Linked DNA regions of Astyanax mexicanus. The protein of the gene in region 1 purifies or fractionates together with the protein of each later gene. This does not show direct contact. Links are inferred from orthologs where the notes say so. Each region holds a gene or a part of one and is shown on either strand. Other genes may lie near its edges.

Evidence for each region.
Region 2: the proteins of pkmyt1 (region 1) and zgc:86839 purify together in Homo sapiens (affinity purification with mass spectrometry; 3 studies listed by BioGRID and IntAct, counting the BioPlex papers as one, with this or other methods). This does not show direct contact. The link is inferred for Astyanax mexicanus from reciprocal best matches to the Homo sapiens genes PKMYT1 and CKS2.

The regions. Positions count from the first base shown.
Region 1 is NC_064422.1:3,366,376-3,377,366, reverse strand, and holds the start of pkmyt1 (membrane-associated tyrosine- and threonine-specific cdc2-inhibitory kinase), read left to right. Parts: upstream 1-6,348; 5' UTR 6,349-6,764; intron 6,765-6,793; exon of another isoform or gene 6,794-6,978; intron 6,979-7,194; exon of another isoform or gene 7,195-7,435; intron 7,436-9,060; 5' UTR 9,061-9,076; coding exon 9,077-9,445; intron 9,446-10,440; coding exon 10,441-10,678; intron 10,679-10,762; coding exon 10,763-10,991. UniProt on the Homo sapiens protein: Acts as a negative regulator of entry into mitosis (G2 to M transition) by phosphorylation of the CDK1 kinase specifically when CDK1 is complexed to cyclins. Mediates phosphorylation of CDK1 predominantly on 'Thr-14'. Also involved in Golgi fragmentation.
Region 2 is NC_064424.1:46,531,227-46,542,236, forward strand, and holds zgc:86839 (cyclin-dependent kinases regulatory subunit 2-like), read right to left. Parts: upstream 5,681-11,010; 5' UTR 5,523-5,680; coding exon 5,464-5,522; intron 4,797-5,463; coding exon 4,669-4,796; intron 4,081-4,668; coding exon 4,040-4,080; 3' UTR 2,527-4,039; downstream 1-2,526. Other genes in the region: si:ch1073-398f15.1 (cardiomyopathy-associated protein 5), read right to left, coding at 8,330-10,469. UniProt on the Homo sapiens protein: Binds to the catalytic subunit of the cyclin dependent kinases and is essential for their biological function.

The DNA.
Region 1 (10,991 bases):
CAACCCTGATATTTAAGGTGTTTCCTACACCTATACCAACATCAGAAACATCAGTAGCCTATTCACAGAAAATTCACTGAAGTATTCCGTTGATTACTTTTTTTCTGCTGCTTATGTTGATTTGTGTTGATTGCCGTTAAGTACAGTTTTTTGTTTGTTTCAGTTGCTTATTATTAACCTACTATTTTATTGTCTTAATACAGTTATTATGCTCATTTTATGTCTCTTTATGTTGTTTTATTATTGCACATGGAATTGTACACATAAAGACCATGTATTATTAAAGCCATTGCTCAACTTTGAGCTTGAATTAAGCAGATGAGTGATATTTTGTCCTTCTAATTATTATAGCTAATTAAGGTATTTAATTCCTAGGCATATTCATGTCCAATTTTAGGGTGCTTACATAAATCATTAGCTAGGTTATACAATCATGTGTGCAATATTTACCATGTAAATGTCTATATGTATTTGTTTTAGCCCAGTGTTTAACATTATGCTCAGTTTAATTCCTGCACATGTGGTAAGATAAATCAATGGTTTGTTCATCACAGATTTGGGACACTTTTAACTCACAGCTCAGAACAAAAGAATGTAAATGTAAGTGTCCAAAAAAAAAGACAATCAGTATAAAAAATGAGAGAACTTCATTTTTATTGGCATGGAAACCATAAATCTAAATATAAAACATTGCACCAAAGTTATATTATGATATACATCACGTATTGTATATTTGATGTGAATAGTTAATTCTGGCATATACATGTTATGAGTAAATGTAAAAGTAAATCCCATGTAAGCCAACTATCAACTATCAATGTTGAGGTTAAATTGAAGGGTAATTGAACAATATGTCTACATAGACCATTAGTCTATCGAGGCACATAAGACTAATATGTGTCAGAATATGATATGAATACCTCCTAAAACTTTTTAACTAACCCTAGCTAAGTCAAACCAGTTATTTAACGCTAAGAAAACCGAAGAAGGTATCAACGCATGCTGACGCATGCGCAGAATGCCACTGGCTTGAAACTGCTGGCGTGAATCTGCTGGCGTATATCCGTGGCTCTGCGGCTCTGCAGACAGATACTATTGAACCTTTGCAACCTGCTCGATCTCTGCATCCTTTGGTGGTGGCATGATTGATCTTCTCACGGCCTCTTAAAATAATAATATAGAGATATGAGAATGCAGTCAGGTAAATACTACATCTGTTAGTGTCTTTTCATGTACAATGCTTAATTTTAGAGAAATTTGCAGACTGTATTTGATTACAGTGATTCTTATATAGTGATAGTTATTTGAATTTGAATTTGAATTTCTTCAGGCTATTCATGGTGAAACATAAATAGCCTTTACAGTCACTGTGTGTGACTGGTAGTTACATTCTATAAACATGTGAGGTGGCCGATATCAGGATATCAGGTTCACAAAAATACCAAAACTTTTTAAAATGATATCTTTCCCTTAGCTTAACTGGCTATCTTTCCCTTAGCTTAGCTGGATATCTTTCCCTTAGCTTAACTGGCTATATTTCCGTTAGCTTAGCTGGCTAGCTTTCCGTTAGCTTAACTGGCTATCTTTCCCTTAGCTTAACTGGCTATCTTTCCCTTAGCTTAAGTGGATATCTTTCCATTTTCCATTTCCCTTAATATTTCCCTTAGCAAGCCATTGTTCCCTTAGCTGGTTATTGTTGACATACTTGGATATAAAGTTAACTTACTTAACAGCAGTCTTTCTCCAAGAGCCGAGATAAGCTGCCAACTTGGGAGCCCCTTGTGTTATTTAAATGTGAGGTAAATTCTCATTCTAACTTAGCACAATGCTAACTTTTTTTAGCACAATGCTAACTTTTTTTAGCACAATGCTAACTTCGACATAGCTACCCTTATAATGCTACAATAACCTGAGAGTGGTAACTGCATTAGCACCACATTAGCAAAAAATAGAAAAGCGGATAGTAGAACAGAAATTATAACTTACCTTTTAGTCACTTTGACAGACCAAAGTCACTCACTGACTTTGCCTTTAAGCTTGATCATTGCTCTGTGGTAAAGGCACGTGCAGGGAGGGGGGAGGGGGAGGGGGGTGGATTCGTCGGTCACATGATCCACATTGACATGCCCTCACTGCCCTGTTGCGCCCACACGAATACACACAAATTAAATATCACATGCAAAAATAAAAAAATATGTAACTTTTATAACCTTGCTTGCTGGCTTACACAAAGTGTATAGTCAAGCACAAATACATTTATAATTTAATATTTTTATTTATTTATTATCAGCACTACCAATAATAAAGGTGAGATTATGAATCAGCACCATGGAGCAAATTCGTAGCTATCCAAAATATTAAATAAAAATATTTTTATAAATAAAAATGTATAGCTATACAGTATATGTCTTGACAAATATGAGATGTTACTGGGTGTGTGTGTGTGTGTGTGTTTTATGTGCATCAGAGTTTATCAATGATATTGCAGGTGTTTCAAATTTTTTCTCCATGTGCACCCTTTTGACTTTGAGCACCTGCCCCTCCAAAGGTCTCTGCACAACTCTGCTGTGGTACCTTGATTTTTCTCCACTTTTGGTTTAGAAAATATTTCAGAGCTGATGCTACATTTCACACAGTGTTGCTCCTATCCACTAAGCTAGCTAATCTACCTAGCTCTCACAGACAAAAACAATAAAAAATATTCAGATACCCTTCATATGAACTTGTTATGACACAAACTTTCAGATTGTAAAATATTGAATGGTAAATTTGGGCTGACCCAGAGTAACCTAGCATAGGATTTGTGTGGGCATGCTCACATATGTGTGCGTGCTGCCCACATATAACCCACAATGCCTACAGTGTGTAAATGGTGCAGGCTGAATTTGGGCTGACCCACAGTGTCCCTGCATGACATTTGTGTGCACATGCCAAAGTGCAGGTTGCAGACATATAACCCATACCGGCCCTTCAGGGTATGAAATGGTGCAGGCTGAATTTGGGCTGACCACATTGGCTCTGCATGGGAATTGTATGGGCATGCTAAACTGTGCTTTGCCCACATATATCCTACACTGGCCCTTCAGGATGTAAAATGGTGCAGGCTGAATTTGGGCTGACCCACACTGGCTCTGCATGGGATTTGTGTAGGCATGCTAAAGTGTTTTGCCCACATATATCCTACACTGGCCCTTCAGGGTGTGAAATGGTGCAGTGCACTGGCTCTGCATGGGATTTGTGTGGGCATGCCAGAGTGTGGGTTGCCCACATTTAACCCACACTGGCCCTTCAGGGTGTGAAATAGTGCAGGCTGAATTTGGGCTGACCCACACTGGCTCTGCATAGGATTTGTGTAGGCATGCTAAAGTGTTTTGCCCACATATATCCTACACTGGCCCTTCAGGGTGTGAAATGGTGCAGTGCACTGGCTCTGCATGGGATTTGTGTGGGCATGCCAGAGTGTGGGTTGCCCACATTTAACCCACACTGGCCCTTCAGGGTGTGAAATGGTGCAGGCTGAATTTGGGCTGACCCACACTGGCTCTGCATGGGATTTGTGTGGGCATGCCAGAGTGCGGGTTGCCCACATATAACCCACACTGGCCCTTCAGGGTGTGAAATGGTGCAGGCTGAATGTGGGCTGACCCACAGTGGGCCTGCCTGGGATTTGTGTGGGCATGCCAGAGTGCGGGTTGCCCACATATAACCCAAACTGGCCCTTCAGGGTGTGAAATAGTGCAGGCTGAATTTGGGCTGACCCACACTGGCTCTGCATGGGATTTATGTGGGCATGCCAGAGTGCGGGTTGCCCACATATAACCCACACTGGCCCTTCAGGGTGTGAAATGGTGCAGGCTGAATGTGGGCTGACCCACAGTGGGCCTGCCTGGCATTTGTGTGGGCATGCCAGAGTGCGGGTTGCCCACATATAACCCACACTGGCCCTTCAGGGTGTGAAATGGTGCAGGCTGAATGTGGGCTGACCCACAGTGGGCCTGCCTGGGATTTGTGTGGGCATGCCAGAGTGCGGGTTGCCCACATATAACCCACACTGGCCCTTCAGGGTGTGAAATGGTGCAGGCTGAATGTGGGCTGACCCACAGTGGGCCTGCCTGGGATTTGTGTGGGCGCATCAAAGTGTTGGCTGTCCAAATAATTCCCACACTGGGCCTACAGGGGCATTAATGCACTGGACCAGTTCAGGCTAGCCCACAGCGGCCTTTTATAGGATTTGAGTGGGCCAGCCAATGAACAGGCTGCCCACAGAAAACCCATGTTGGGCCTGTTTGGAATTTTAATGGGCTAGCCCCTGCCCACAGTGCCCACACTTAGCCCACGAAGGGCCGATGTGTAGCTTTTTGCTGGGTCATTTTTCATTTCAGTCTCTGCACGAGAAGCGTGTGGGCAGAGCGCAGATGTTGTGCCAAATTTAGCACCCGCGCCAGAAAAAGCACCCCCTCCTTGGAGCATGTTAAATAACTTAACTTGAAAGGCAAAAAATGAGAGATAATCCGCTGTCATTAGTTTGTTTACTATGCAAAAATAAACTAAAATACGTCTCGTTTCACTAATCAATTATGGAGGACCAAAATTAAAAATAAATAAATAAATAAAAATGTATGTAAATCACTCAATAAAAGTAATATGGTGACTAAAACGCTAAAGAATTATTCTAATTACTATATCAAAATAAATACATATACATAAAAATAAATATCATAATAAATTGTTATTTATGGGTTTTTCAATTAACATTGTTTAATTTTTCTAAATTTGATTATTATTTACATAACTATTTATTTCTGCATTAATTTTTTTCCGTTATTTTATTTCTGTATTTATTTATTTCTCAATGTATTTATTGCTGTATTCATTTATTTCCCAATTTATTTATTTCTGTTTTTCCTTGTCCTTTTATGATAATGAAGGGGCTGTCCAGCAATGATGTCACGGTGTCTCAGCATTCCTATTGGTTGATCGATGTCAGATACCATATATGGATTGTACATGTTTTGCCCATTTGGTGGTTACTTTGGTAACGTGGGAGATTATATAATAAAGATCATTTAGATCGTAATACAGACTGTAATCCATTTTTCTGAGGAGAGCAGCTGCTTCTCTGAGCAGATCCAATACTAAACTTCACCCCGACATTTCAGCTCCTCTCTCTCTGGGCTTGATTGCTAAGCCTGTACGTGAAAAACACGCCCCCTTCTTTATCATATAAGGACAAGGAAAAACCGAAATAAATAAATTGGGAAATGAATGAATGCAGAAATAAATAAATCGGGAAATAAATTAATGCAGAAATAAATAGTTATGTAAATAAATAAAAGTAAATTGAAAAGAAATGTTAATAAAGAAACCCATTAATAACAAATGATTAGGATATTATTTTTTTTGTTTTTTTATTTTTATATTAATTATATTTATTCTTTAGCGTTTTTATCACCATATTACTTTTATTGAGTGATTTACTTACGTTTTTATTTATTTATTTATTTTTAATTTTGGCAGTTTTGGTCCTCCATAATCAATAACCCGAGAGAGGGTGATTTTCATACAACAGCTGTGCCAAAATCAGCACCCCTGCCATTAAAAGCACCCCCTCTCAGCGAAGCTTTTTTGGCACGTGTTTCTAAGTAAAGTTAAACTTAAACTTTCCAAAATTGAAGAAATATCCTGAACAAGAACTTAGTTATTATTTATAAACTGAGTTTTTAGCCGTTTAACCCTATTCACTTACATCTATTCTGGACTCTCTTGCGGTCTCCCAGCGGTATACAGTTATTTTCGGATGTACCGGGGCGAGAGGAAGGGGGCAGTCTTTCTATAAACCAGCTCTGTGGCGGCTTTAAGCTTAAAGTGCCCACATTAAAATTAACATAGCCAAAGTGGGTCAGGATTATAAATATTATGGGTATGTATTATACATACACACCAGGACTATATTAAAATGCTTACCGTTTTTAAATCCTTTATTTTTTGTTATTGTTTTTTGTGATGTCATATAAACGTGTGTAATATAAACGCAGAGCCGGTTTATTAGAGACTGCCCATTTCCGATCTCCCCGTTATATCAGAAAATAACTGCCCACCGCTAGAGGGAGCCCGCGAGCGAGTCCTCAATGAATGGGGTGAATGGAGCTGATCGGCTCAAACTCAAATAAAAAAATAGTAACTAACTGCTTGTCCAGGTTATTAATTTACTTTTAGTGAGAGCAGAGTAAACTTACCTGTATATTTTCTACAGTAAAGTGGCTTCAGGCGCTGCATTACTGCTATAGACAGGTAGAGGTGGATAAACCAGGTCCAGAAAGTAAAAATCCAACAAAGGGTTTTGTATCAACTGCCTGGGCGGGTCTGTTGACATGCAGTAGAGTCGCTTAGGCAGTTGGTACAAAACCCTGGGTTGGATTTTTACTCTCTGGACCTGGTTTCCCACCTCTACTGACAGGTGAGCTGATTCTGAAGTTACAGCTAGAGCACATTTAAAATGTTTATAACTGAAGTTTAAATTCTTTGAAACGCATTTCTGCGTTGGTAAATCAGTTGATATTGTTTTTGTGTTAGTACAATTAGTACAAATATCAAACTGTTCTGTATGAAAATGATCAAATATTTATAAACTTTTTTTTATAGATTTTGCTCAATTCCTCCATATGGAGTGGGTATTCGCTCTCTCTACAGTCTCTTTGATAAACGTGGCATTACGTCACTGTGTGTTTTGGCGCGTGGGGAGGGAATTTGAAAGCGCGGACACGGTGAGAGGTTTCTCCTGTATTATTATTAATATTAATAATATAAATAGTGTCTGTACAGAACCGATACAACGCTATGTGAACCTGGCGCAGGGCTGCGTGCTGCGGGGCAGTACGGGCTGGGCTAAGGGGAAATCTGAAGCTGTCAGCGGAGTGAAGGTGTTCTGCTGAGTTTTGCTACCTTGTCAAGACGTGCTTCCCTTGTGTATAATTAAAGGTAAAAATACAATAGTAGCACAATTTTAGAGCATTTTTCCCAGCAGAAGTCTATGTGCTGTTTTTGATAGCATGAAGCACTGTCTCAGGGTAAAGTTATAGTGATGAGAGGTTATTTGAATCTGCTTATATATATATATATATATATATATATATATATATATATATATATATATTTATAATATTTTCTATTATTAATATTAATTGTGATTTACACTTTTTATGTAATTACAGTAAGTCCAGGTCGTTAAATGAATAAAAAACGCAAAAGAATATAAAAATAAATTTAAAAGGTAGATTGGCGCATGCGCAGTGCCTTTGGAAAGCACTTATCGATGGGTAGCATAACTCGACAGAACACCGGTACCGACAGCAGCAGCAGCGGGTTCTGGTTCTGTGAGAATTGTGAGGAGGAGAGTCCGGCTCCAGTTAGACTGCAGAGCTGTGAGAAAACTCAGGTTTCTGTGCGGGAGAATCTCATTCCCAATTATTTTCAGTTTGTTTACGAACAAATGAGACGAAACGCGCCCGGAGTTCCGAGTTTTTAACTCGGGTTTAGTGAGTTAGCTTTAGTTAGCATAGCGGCTAACATCCACTCTACCCGCCACAGTTCACCTACCTACCCAGCCCCGAGTTCAGGGGTTAGACCCTACAGCCCAGCCTCAACCAGAAAACAAGCCCTGATACCACAGAACCCTGAATAAACACTAGCTCTGATTGCAACACGTCTTTACGACATTATGTTCCAGATGAAAAAAAGATACTTTAAATTAAAGGAGAAATCCGGGATGAAATGGACTTGGGTCGTAGTGAAACATGATAAGTAACGTACAAATTTTTGTTGTCAAATTCAGCATTCAGAAATACAGTGCTTTTAGCTGATGCTCCCAACAGGCTTTCAATGCTGGAGAAAGGGGCATAGCGTTGCCCTCAATATTTTTACACCATTAATGAACAAGCTCAAAGTAGCACCACACTTTACTTGTAGAATTCTGAGGGCCCTGACATTTAAAATGAGGCACTGAGAACTTGTACAGATCGTGAATGCTAAGTAAAAATACTGTTTATACCCACAGTATACACGAAAGATAAATGAAAGGTAGGATGGGTAAACAGATTGTAAAAATATATTCTATGAAAATGCATTAATTCTTATTAAAAATCTCTGTAATATTCATGCATTAACACAGACTTAATTTTGCACTTTGTTCCCTATCCTATGTACTCTTTCTACTCATAAGTCGACTCATAAATTATTCTCGAGAACTACCTGATGGTATTGTGTGTATACCCACTGTTTTTAATAAACTCTCTGTGCGTGCATCTTCAAACGTCTCAGTGCTTCGTTTTAAATGTCAGGACCCTTAGAATTTTACCAATAAAGTGTTGAGCTACTTTGAGCTTGTTTATGGTGTAAAAATAGCCATTTCTATGCATAGCCAACCCTATGCCCTTATCACTAGCATTGTAAGCCTGTTGGGAGCATCGACTAAAAACAATAAACACTGGGGGTGAACAGAGTGGGGCTTTTTCACAAATGTACTCATTATCATGTTTCACTACAACACAAGTCCATGTTACACCAGATTTCTCCTTTAATTTAAAGGTCTCATTCTATCGTTTTTTAATTCATTTTTAAATGTCTAGTTGTCTCTAAAATGAATTAATACCATATGCCCTTTTTTTTGGAAAAAAGTGCTTTTAACTAGTGTAAACAGAACCATTCTAAATATACACACCTACATATCTCAACTTACCTGGCGTGTTCCACAGACAAATTCTAACCATTTATTCCTTAGCTCTGAATTACTGGACAAAGCGTATAACACTATTGTGTTTTTTGCACAAATAATATGATTCTAAAAAAAAAAAAAAGACTATTATTGTTGACATAATCCTGATATCATTGTGCATCCCTTATAAAAAAAAAACCCATACACTTCCTATAGAAATTAAATTAAGGTAAATCAAATGTTCTTTTTGTTGGAACAGGCTGAGCTGAACTTCTGTACACAGTCTCTGTAATCTTTTGACTGACTCGGACTTGTTGGAATGAACTGTTATTTCGATGGTGTATTTTCAGGTGCTGCTTTTCCTGTATGTTTGTCCAGAGAGTCGACATGGTCAGCACCCCACTGCCCCTGCCCGTGCACTTTTCCCATGCCCAGCAATCATTCTCTCTGAAAAAGCGCCGCCTTGCCTTCTCCTCGTCTGTGTCGTCAGACTCCCACTCCCCTCAGCGTCAGCTCTCGCACTCCCTGCCACCGCGACCCCCCTCCAAAGGCTGTCCCTCTGTGAGCCGCGTATTTCCCCAGCGTCGGACCCCCTGGACCCCGCTCTCCTGTGAGCTGATTGAAAACCCACCACCACTCTCTCTGTATGACCCTGGCCGGCCGCAGTCCTTCTTCAGCCAGTGCTTCATAAACCTGGGCCTCATCGGCAGAGGCTCTTTTGGGGAGGTGTATAAGGTGAGGTAACTACAGGTAGAACAAAACCAGTGTAAATAGACCAGGTTCTGGTCCTGAAGTTTGTATTTAATTTAGAGCTGGCAGAAGCAGAGTTATGTAGATCCTTTAAGATTCTTAGAAGACTGTCTGTAGAAACATTAGCTGCGTGCAGAGTCTGTAGAAGAAGTGTCATAAATTCTTTCAAAATATTACACTCATTACAGGTGCATATTTGTGAGTAGTGTGGACACGATGACAAAATGATAACTTTCAACATGATACCTGAATATCTTGATACTGAAACTGAAATTATACTACGGCTTAGTGCTGAGCGCTATGAACAAAAATGCATATAACAGTATTTTGCAAGATTCTGAAGGTTTCACGGTATATCACTGTATTTAAAAAAAATCTTATTTATTTCTATATTTTTGCAAAGCTTTTTTGCACAAGTAAAACACAAGTTTAACATAAATTTACAATATGTTTAATTGAAGCCATTAGAGGTGTTAATGTTTTTAAGCAAATGTTTATCAGTTTATCACAATTCCCTTCTTTCTCCTGTTAACAAATACATTCAGTTCAGTGTGCATTAATATTTATTTATTAATAATTAATATCCTTCAAGCTACAGTATTAATATATTTAAAAGGACTATAGTTACTCATATTGTAAGGTACAACAGCAGTTATGTTTTCGAACTGTGCTTACCCAGGTCACTCAGTACACTGAGAGAGAAGCTGGAGGCTGGATTACAGGCTGAAGCTCAAAATACTGACATGTAGTTACCCAAAATTAGACACTGTTCAGTATTAAATATTTGGACCACTTTTTAAGAACATAATGATACCAGTCGGAATAATGTTTAGATTTGAACGATATCGCAAACCGATAATTGCTGTTTTTTTGTGCAGAAAAAGGACCAAAAGATATATATTTTTTATATTTAACCTGTTCATTTAACAGTATAGTAAAAATAAACTACCCTCTTGTGCAAATTGTTTTTTCACCTACAGGTAAAGAGTCTGTTAGATGGGCGGCAGTATGCAGTGAAACGCTCGGTGCAGCGCTTCCGTGGGGAGGTTGAACGCTCCCGGAGCATCAAAGAGGCTCGGAACCATGAGCGTCTCCATCCGCACCCGCATATCCTGGGCTTCATCGCCGCCTGGGAGGAGGGAGGGCATCTCTACATTCAGACTGAACTGTGCTGCACCAGCCTGCTTCTCCACACTGAGAACCAGCCTTCAAATCCAGGTGAGACTTTTTGCATCATTTTATTTTTATTTTTACTGTTGAGGAGAAAAACCCCAACACTTTTTTTTGTTCTTGCTTTTGCAGGTGAGGCATGTGCCTGGTATTACCTATGTGATCTGCTCTTGGCTCTTGATCACCTACACTCTCAGGGCTTTGCTCACATGGACCTCAAACCAGCCAATGTGTTCCTCACGCGTTCTGGGCGGCTCAAACTCGGTGATTTTGGCCTCTTGCTGGAGCTGCCCAGAGAGAGCGAGGCTGGAGCGACAGAGGGAGGAAAAGGCACAGACAGGAAGAAGAGGGAGAAAGACGA
Region 2 (11,010 bases), on another chromosome or scaffold:
AAACACTGTTTAATCATCATCGTTCACTGTCCTCCGTTCTCTATTACACACTCCTGTCTCAAACTGAAACACCTTGTAGATAAATTAATGTCAGAGACAGAAGATCTGAATCTGTTGCTGCACAGTTTAAAGTGTTGCCCATCATCAATCCTTCATTGGTTGTTATGGGATGCTGACCACAGAATGCTGTTGGTGGACTGTTCTCTGTCCAGCACTGATGCTGAGGTGTTTAAAAACTCCAGCAGCACTGCTGTATAGGATCCACTCGTACAGTCAGCACAACACATACTATCACCTCATTCAGTGTCACTATAGTGGTGATAATAATAATAATAATAATAATAATATAAAATGCAGAAAAAAAAATTAAAGGACGCGGGTTTGACAGGTGGAGTGTCAATAAGAAAGAAAGTGGACTTCTACAAACATTGGGGGTGTTCTAAAACTTTTGACCAGTCGAGTATAAAATTACTGTTCCGGTCATTTTTTGATTGTTTTTACTGTTTGCAGATGAAGCCAATAGTGTCTCTAAAGAGTTAAACCAGTGGAGAGAAGCTCTGGCAGAACATGAGCACCAGCTTCAGAACTGGAAGAAGGCCTGGGTAGGTACACACACACACACACACACACACACACACTCACTCAGCTGAGGGTGAAATCTTTTCTATACTCTTGTGTGTCTAAATGGTGCCATTGTTCTGTGGTTTCCTTTGGTTTGGTACTGAGCGTGTGTGTGTGTGTGGTGCGTGTGTATGTGCATGTATGCGTGTGTGTGGTGTGTGTTGAATGTGCAGAAGCAGAAGGCAGAGAGGAAGCACTCATGGCTTCTGACTCGCATGCTATCCTAACATACCGTGACAACAAGTTTCTGAATCAGTTTATCTGATTTTGCTATTTATAGGTTTATGTTTGAGTAAAATGAACATTGTTGTTTTATTCTATAAACTACAGACAACATTTCTCCCAAATTCCAAATAAAAATATTCTCATTTAGAGCATTTATTTACAGAAAATGAGAAATGTCTGAAATAACAAAAAAAAAAGATGCAGAGCTTTCAGACCTCAAATAATGCAAAGAAAACAAGTTCATATTCATAAAGTTTTAAGAGTTCAGAAATCATCAATATTTGGTGGAATAACCCTGGTTTTTAATCACAGTTTTAATTTCATGCATTTTGGCATCATGTTCTCCTCCACCAGTCTTACACACTGCTTTTGGATAACTATTATATTATAATTATAATTATATATATATATATATATATATCTGTTTCTCTGTACAGGAGAGCTGTGATGGGCAGGGGGTTCTCTGAGTGAGCTCTACGGCTCCTCACCAGTTTCTAAATCGCCACCCAGTTCCACTGATCCAGTGAGTCTGAGTGAAGTCTGGGCCTGATCACAGCCTGAGAGCGGCTCACACCCTCACACACCTCACACACACCCTCACCTGGTTGAGACCACATACACACACACACACACAGACACCTATCCTCACCTGGTTGAGGTTCTACACACCTGAGGAAGACACCTCCACCCTCGTTCTCTCTGTAGGATGACTCTGGGACGGATCTCCAGTTTTTTGAGGGAGAACTTGGTTTTCAGAAAGAAAAAGACTTTTAAAACTGAAGGAGGACGAGGAGCAGGACTCAGTTCAGGATGGAAGGGGATGATCTGCAGATCTGTGAGATCTTCCACAGTGAGGGTCAAGCTCAGCTTCAGTTATCAGAGCAAGAACTCAAGCTCATTATAGAGATATAATCTGTAATAATCTGTGTGCTTTTAGAGCTCTTACCCATTTCTGCTTCGTTCAGACGAGCCAGTGTGTTGAATTGTGAGGATTTTTACTAAATCCTGCAGTTTTGTGTTTTTGCAATAAAGATTTGACGTTTATTGGGTGTGTCCTGAGTCAATCAGCTCCATATACTACATCAACACCAGCAGATATCAGACATGTCTCTCCAAACCATCACTGATTGGTGGAAACTTCACACTAGACCTCGAGCAGTTTGGACTGTGTGTCTCTCCACTCTTCCTCCAGACTCTGCTCCCTTCATTTACAAATGAAATGTAAAATGTACTGATGATCAGTGATGGTTTGGAGAGTCATGTCTGTCATCTGCTGGTGTTGATCCACTGTGTTTTATTATCAAGTCTAAAGTCAGTGCAGTTTTGTTTTCCCACAAAATCTTACAGCACTTCATATCTTACAGCTTCCCTCTGCTGCTGACAACTTTTATAATGATGCAGATTTCATTTTCCAGCAGGACTTGGCACACTGCTAAAAGTACCAATTAGTCTTATTATATAATATTCTAATTTTCTAAAACACTGATTTTTGGGTTTTTATAAATGCTTAAAATAGATCACTGTGTTTAATACATCTATATAATATATGAGTTTCACATTTTCAACTGAATTACTGAAATAAAGCAACTTTTCAATAATAGGGTCTCTGCTCTGCATTATAACTATTACTAGCACGACAGCGCCCTCTATTGCCTTAAAGGATTTATCACACACAAAACATTCAATATGAAAAAGGTGTTTTTATTAAACTGTACAAGATAAACTGGAATGATAATGTGAAAATTTTTTGGTCTTTTGTTGTTTTTTTATTATTTGGTCACAAAAAGAAAACGCAAATAGTTCCTTGATTTTAAAATAAACACTATTCTGTACTGCATTCTGGGGTGAATTCAGGGTGAATGGATCAGTGTTTTAGTTTACTGCCATTAATGGAACAAAAAACACCATATAAAATGATTATTTTCTGTAATAGTGAAGACGCTTTTCCCTCATACTGACACATGAAATTAAACCTTGTATAGACTCACAGTCACCCTTAATTCACCCCATATCAACATCACAATCATAATCCTTATTTTTCTTTTAATCATATAGAATTATCTTTATGTTCACAAGCTCAAATAGTCCAAACCTGATTCTCCAAAACATACTTTTACATTTGTCTAAACCACAAAATACACATCCTTGAATAGTAGTTTAGGATTCCAGATTACAGTTACACCCTGCTGCATTAAACTGCATTAATTAATCCAGTTCACTGGATCTGATATCAAAAGGGCTTAATAATTAGCTAAGAAGTTAAATCAGGTGTAAAAACACTTATTATGCAGGTCTACAATCTACCCCCGAGCTACAACACTAGTTTTAAGCCTACACAGCATTTTAAATGGAGATTTTCCACTGAAAATATAGTTTACTAGGCTTAATTCCTGTCCAGAAAACCACCCATGACCTCTTAGACTATGTTCAGACTGCAAATCCCAACCCAATTTGTAAACATATGATCGTAAATCACATTTAAAATGTTGTTTCTGGCTGTCCAGACTCTCAACAATCAATCTGGATATAAAATAAATCAGATTTGAGCTCTCAGTGTGAACACAACCTATACATTCTGATCTACAGGTGTCTAAATTCAGCTCTGGTTAATCCAGTTCACTGGATAAATCCACATAATTGATGTTTCTGCTTGATTACACCTGATTTAACCCCAGCTTTAATAATCAAACCTTACTTAAATCAGTTTTAAAGCATCTCTTAAACTGAATGTAACCAATGTTTCTCTACAGTACAAGCTTTCTTTGGTCCCCTTTTCCTGAAAGTGTCAGTAATTTGGCCCGAGTGCTCCCCGTACAGACGTTTCAGTGCTTTAAACAGATACAAGTGATCAATTAACCTTCTTTTACCCAAAGAACAACAAAAATAAACACTGTTTTTTTTTTTTTAAGGCATCGGTGCTCAAAATGCAGCAGAACTCTCGATGGTTTGTAGTGATGTTCAGTTAGACAGGCACAGCAGACGTGATTCACATGTTTAAAAGCCCTCTTTCAGATTCACACCGTTTCTTTCAGACACACATCCTCTTCATTTCCTAACTGAGCGAAGTCGCTGAGAAAAATCCAGCTCGTCTACAGGAAGTCAGTAAACTTCAGTAAAGGTTGCAAGTATTCACTGAATACCAGAATAATCCACAGGAAGGTTCCAGAAGATCTGAGGGCCACAGTCACCATCGTTATTTTGGAAGAGGTCTTCTAAACAACAGGATGTGAGGCTCTGGAAGACAAAGAAAGAAAAAAAATGAGAAATGCATTTTAGGGCTGCATCGATTAGTCGATATAATCGACAGTGACGATTATATAAAAAAAAAATAAAAATAAAAATGATGATTCCAAATGTTCATTGTTGACAAATTGTTAATTTGCAGCACTACACAAAGTACAGGGGACAGTAAAAAGTGCCCAAATACAAAATATTACACATTTCCTCACTAAATATCAGCACTTTCCATATTTAAAGGTCAATGTTCTGGACATTTGAAGGGCTTTTAAATCCCTTGTTCAGCTGTTTCTATCAATTTAAAGTGAAGAAGCAAGCAAGCAGAGATGAAGGACATGGCAGACATAATCGTCGATTAATCGAATAATCAGAAAAATAATCCAAAATAGACATTAGATGCAGTCCTAATGTATATGCCATTATTTTTAACAATACCGTAAAATAGTCATGCTGTCGAGCTCAAGATTCAAGTGCTTTGTTTATTGAAGGATATGAAATGTTTGTTTTCACTACTTCAGCAGAATTCTCTTAAAATAAAACGTGTTAAAAAGGGGTAAAAGGTCACCTTAACTTAGAAATACTGACCAGGTTCATGAATCATATAATGCACCCATCCCAGAGACTGCTGCACTCCCAGCCTCCTCCACTCGTCCTCCGACATCAGGTGAGACTTGGGCACCTGTTTGGCGAGTTCTCGAGGTAAAACCACATGTCTGGTGAGAAAACAGAATCACAAAGTTTATTGGCACTGCTGTGTGTGTGTGTATTACTGTGTATCCAAATATAGATTAGCTCCTTAGTGCTGGATACAGTTTTCTAGGTGGACGGTTGTTTCTGGTTAAGAGTAGGCTGTGTGTGATTGGCTGCCAAGTCTGTGACTAAAAAGTCTGTGACTTGTCTTAAGATATGAGAGATTGTCAGACTTTAGTCGACTTTTAGTCGACTTTTAAGTATTTTAAGAGTTGTGTAGTGTATCCTTCGTGAGTCCTTTGGCAAGGCATGTAAATGTTATTTTTTACTTTTTACAGAGTTTGTATAGAATTTAAACAACTACACAGCACACATAAAAATCACGTTATACTCATACTGACCCAGTAAAACACACAGAGTTAATGCAGAGTCTGAAATCTCTTTAGAAAACCCAGTTGTCTTTAGAGATTTAACTTTTATTACTTTATTTTTGTTTTTAAATGAAACTAAAAGAGTTTGCTGACTTTTAGCAGCAGCTCCCACACAGGAAAAGGCCTGAGAAACCCGGCCAGCAGCGTGAACAGCCTCTTTACTCTATTGACTGATTATTATTATTAATGTTTAACAGTAATTTAATCCTAATTTTGGATTTAATTTAATAAATCCCGCTGTACCTGTCCGCTCGCTCACCTGTACTCGTAGAGGTCGTCGTTGTATTTATCGGAGTAGTAGATCTGTTTGTGTGACATTCCGAAACAAAGCGCTGAGAAAAAAACACTAAAACACTCCGAATAACTCCAAATTAATCCGGATTAAACTCGATTCCGCTGTATTTGAAGCGAATAATCGCGTGCTGATCAGAACTGCAGCTCCTGTTTCCTCTCCAAAGGAATTCAATGACTTTTTTCAAACGCCGGATTGAAATGAAATTCCGCCTCTCTGATTGGACGAGGCGGAGTCACGTGACTGTAAACCTCCACTGTCATTGGTGGATGCTCAGACGACACAGAAACGTGTTCGACTTCCGATCAGAGAGCGTGTGGAGCGGAAACTGCACACTCCATACTGAGCTCTGAGTTACTCAAACACTAGAGGGCGCTACCGAGGGAGTCTAAAATTAATGGATTTATTTAAAGCTTTTGAGCAAAATCAGAGTTTTTTTAAGCTAATAGTGGCGTCAATCGATTAAAAAATTTAATCTGATTAATCATGAAAATATTCTGTGATAAAATGCAATTAATCGCTTGTTCTTCTTAAAACACAAGTGTTAATAGTGGATATTTAAATGCAAATAAAGCTGTAAATAAAAATGTAAATGTAAAGGTTTGTTATCATTAATCAGTTTGTTGTGGTGTGATGTGTGCCGGTGTGAAGGATCGTATAAATCAATAGGGTATCGGAATGGTAACCTATACTACTGCATCTCAAAAAATTAGAAAATAATTTTTTAAAAGTTACTTTATTTTATTAATTCAGTTTAAAATGTAAAACTCATATATTATATAGATGTTATGTTGATGATTATGGCTTTCAGCCAATGAAAACCCAAAAATGTACCAGAATTTCAATACCAATATATTATATAGATGTATTACATACAGAGTGATCTATTTTAAGCGTTTATTTCTTTTATTGTTGATGATTATGGCTTACAGCCAATGAAAACCCTAAAATCAGTGTCTCAGAAAATTAGAATATTATATAATAAGACTATTTAGTACTTTTGGCAGTGTGGGCAGTGTGCCAAGTCCTGCTGGAAAATGAAATCCGCATCTCTATACAAGATCAGCAGAGGGAAGCTGTAAGATATGAAGTGCTGTAAGATTTTGTGGGAAAACAAAACTGCACTGACTTTAGACTTGATAATAAAACACAGTGGATCAACACCAGCAGATGACAGACATGACTCTCCAAACCATCACTGATCATCAGTAAATTTTACATTTCATTTAAAGGAAATTAAGGGAGCAGAGTCTGGAGGAAGAGTGGAGAGACACACAGTCCAAACTGCTCGAGGTCTAGTGTGAAGTTTCCACCAATCAGTGATGGGTTGGAGACTGTTTTCCATTGTTTTCATTGGCTGTAATCCATAATCATCAACAATAAAATAAATAAACGCTTAAAATAGATCTCTCCGTGTTTAATACATCTATATAATATATAAGTTTCACTTTTTTAAACTAAATTACTGGAAAAAAGTAACTGTTACGCTTTTTAAATCCATTTGAAATCTATCTAGTTGTATTTATTCCACCAGTTTTAACACATACAACACGTTTCAAGCCAGGTTATGTACAGTTTATTGATGTATAAACAGATATTCTGTCCTCATAAATTAGCACGTTTACATTTACATATTACAACTTTAGTGTTATTGATATTTCAGGAAAGTTATATACATTATAACTCTTCTGTTTCAGCCAAAGGTGATTCCTAAGTCTATATACAAGACCCACACAGTCTTTTTTTTAATCATTATACACTTTTTTCATTTATCTGTTTGTTTTAACCGGAGTAGGTTTGAGGTGTTCTAGTACGGCTAGATGAAATGATATCTCATTTCGATGACATATTTACAAAAATCATCTAAAAGCTGATGCCAGACCAATGGATGAAACACCACTGTGGGAATTCATGTAACAACCAGGGAATAATAGATTATACATAATATAGATTTCTGAATATAGATTTGTGAAGAACATGTGAAGTAATGGTTGGAATACTGTATACTTTTAAAACTTTTTTTTGAGTAATCCCATATAACAAAGGGCCTGAGATCAAGACCTTTAATCCAGTTTCCAATATTGGCCATTTTTTTTGGTGATTATTGGTAGGTGTGGCATTAAATAGGTGATAAATTAATCAAAACATCCGCTGAGACAGTATTGGGCCAAATGTAGTTTAAACTAGGCAACCGAAATGTTGGTAAAAGCGTTAATGAGTAAATCCCATATTATAGCAGTAACTGCAGTTTCAGCAAATGCAGTACAGGCAAATTTCTGTATTATACTTGGCAACCAGGGTGATAGCAACTACTGCACAGGCCAATTGCTGTATTATACTCAACAAATTGGTTAATGGGACATGCAGCACTGGCCAATTGCTGTATTAAACTCAGCACTTGGGGTGTTGGTACATACATCACAGATCAATTGCTGTATTATACTCAGCAACCGAGGGTCAAATTTGTCTTCAGGAAGAAAGAGAACCCAGTATAGGTCTTAACTTGGGGGATTTAACTTTTGAGCAGCATCAATAGACAGCTTGAATTGTATTCGGAGGAAAGCGCCAGATCACCAGCTCTGATACATCAGCTAATAGAAGCCTGTGTCAGCATGCTCTCAGGGGAAGAGCATGGTCAATTGTCCTCTCTCGGGCTCTGGCTGCTGATAGCAAGAGGAATTACCCAGGGTGTGAACTTTGGGTTTGCTTTGGGTGTCAATTTACTTTAGGTCATATACAACATTAGGGTTGTCATTACTGTGAAATGTAATGCAAGTGCACGTCAGAAGAGCCCATTTCGTAAACTTGGAGACTAATCTAGTCTAGGTTTAAATTAGGAGATTGGAGCATCTACAATCTCGTAATCTGCCTCGACTGCATCATACTGGTTGTCTGTCTGACTTGGTGGATATTCCACCATAGTGAATCCTTCTGAGTCCTTCTGAGGCGTGGCGTATTCACTGGCCTCCTGCTTGGTGATGAGCTCATAGTCCAGCCCAGCTTCTCCTGTAGGTTCTGCTGCCTTAGGTGTGGATGAGCAAACGTCACTGGCACCAGATTTCTGTTCTTGCTTCACTTTCATCTCTCCATGTCCCTCAGCCTCCTCCTCGACCTCTGCCGGAAGTAGAGGAGTCAGGTCCAGGAAGGGTTTGTGGGGTGGTGTTATGGGTTTGACTGTTTGAGGCGATTTGATCGAGAGAGTTCCAGTGGGTGCTTTAGGTCTCTTTGTCTTTTCTGTCTTTTTTGTCTTCCCCGAAACAGTTTGGGCAGCGAATTCAGCAGCTGCTGATTTTCTGTCTACAGTTACCCAGCTTGCGTCCCCTGAGGAAGACTCTGTGCTTATGTCAAGTGGTAAAAAAGCCTCTGCAATTTCTATATCATCTTCTGACGGCAGGAAAACGTCATTTCCTGCCTGTGTCATCCTTTTGCCGTTCTTTGTGGATTCATCCTGAAAAGCCACACGCCGAGTCTTTTTCACTTCCATCGTTTCCTCAGGTTCTAGCTTTTCTACCTGAAGATGTTCACAAGGGGATGAGCTTGCACTGTCCCTAAAGAAATCAGTGATTTCCTCTTCAACCTGTGGTCCAGACTGGTACCTTTCATGCTGTGCAATGCCAAAAGCGTCCTCAGAAAACATCTTCACCCTCTCCACCGTACGGTCACCGGTCAATTGAACTGCCCCTGCTAATGGAGTTTCGTCTTTGAGTACAAACTTCTCCAGGTAGCCTCTGTCTTCTATGTCGGACTCCTGACTGTGAAAGGACTTCTCCGAGGTCACGCTCTCCGTGTCCTCTTGCTTTATCCTGGTTCCTATGGCATCCGCATACAGATCTGTGTACATGAAGGCCAAGGCTTTTGGCTCCTCCAGCAGGTTCAGATCTATAATTTTTGCAGGTCCCTCAGGGAGGTAAACTGGGGTAAGTATCGTCTCCTGGCTACCGAACAAGGCGGATCCGCTTTCCTTCAAAGGTGACGTGGGCAGATCTCCTCGGTTTGCTCCATTCCTTGGTAGGATTTGTTTGTCTGGATCGCTTCCACCACCATAAAACACCTCGTCCACATGTTCACTAGCAATCTCCAGGCCACTGACTGATGCTGAATCGCTTGCAATTTCCACTTCTGGTTTTGCATTGAGAGTCTTGTCTTTACTTACTTTATCTTCTGCTTCCTGCTCTGTCGAGACCTCAGGCTCATCGGAAGCCTCCAATGTAGGAGCTCCTCCTGCTGGTGTCTGATGGTCCAGCAGTGTGAACTTCTCAAAGTAGTCTTCGCTAGTGGCTCCTTTTCGCGGAGGCTTGATTGGTGAAACCAGGACTGGTTCGGGAACTGCCTGGAGCATGGCTTGAATGTCCTCTTTTGGTGTTTCCTCAGGTTCTTCGACGATGTCTTGGGCTTTGACGACAGGAGTTTCTTCCAGGTAGGACAGGTTATCCTCCAGCCCTTTGCTTTCCTCCTCATCCACGGTGAATATCTTTGGTGGCGCAATGATGTTCAAAATCTCGGATCCCTCAGAGACCAGGCGGAAGAGTCGCTGGTTGCCCTCCTCTTTTGGGTCTTTCTGCTCAACTACCTCTGGTTCTTCCTCCATTTTCATGTTAGGAAGAGATACCTCCACCATGGCTGGCCTTTCAGGTTCCCCCAGTCCTTCTCCCATTGTCTCCGCTTTCTTCTCAGCTTTACTCCTCTTCCTCTTCTTCCTCCTGATCAAGTGGTCCTCATCCATTATAAAGATGATTTTACCGGCTGCTTCTGGACCTGCTGGAGCTGCAGGAGGTTTTGGAAGCAGACTATAGCAGGGTTCTGTAGCAGCAGAATTTAAGTCTGAAGCCCAGGGGGTGGAGCAGCGACTGGACGACGTCTCCCAGACAATCCCGCTGTCCTCGCTCTGCACTGTGACCATGGAGAAGGCTGGGTCCATCATCAGACAGTGTAGTTTGGGCTTCACTGCCACGTCATGGACGATCTCTCTCAAACTGGAAGAACAAAAATTAAGCTGGAGTTACCAAAGTAGAACATATATATATATATATATATATAGTCATAATTTTGTGCTTGATTGGTGTAAAACACAGAATTATGTCATCTGACCCGAGTTTCTCAACCCAGGATTCAATAATCAGCTCATTAAAAAGCACTTTAGAGTTGTAGGGGGTGTGATAAAAGCAGGGACTCTATTAAGATAAGATAAGATAAGATAAGATAAGATAAGATAAGATAAGATAAGATGGGAAAGATTTTAATATAAATTTGCAATGTTACAGCAGCACAGAGGACAGGGCAAACGAAGTAGCATGAATATACAAGCAATATATAAAATAGAAAAATAAAATAAATATTTTAAACTATAATAAAAAAAGATAAAATATTGCACATTAAGCATATTGCACATGATGGTGGTAAACATATTAGCAATACTAACTAAACATACTGTACATACTAACTAAAATGTGCAGGGCAGGGGTGCTTCCCAACCAGGGATGTGAAACCCTGATCTGAACCATCAAAACTGATGTG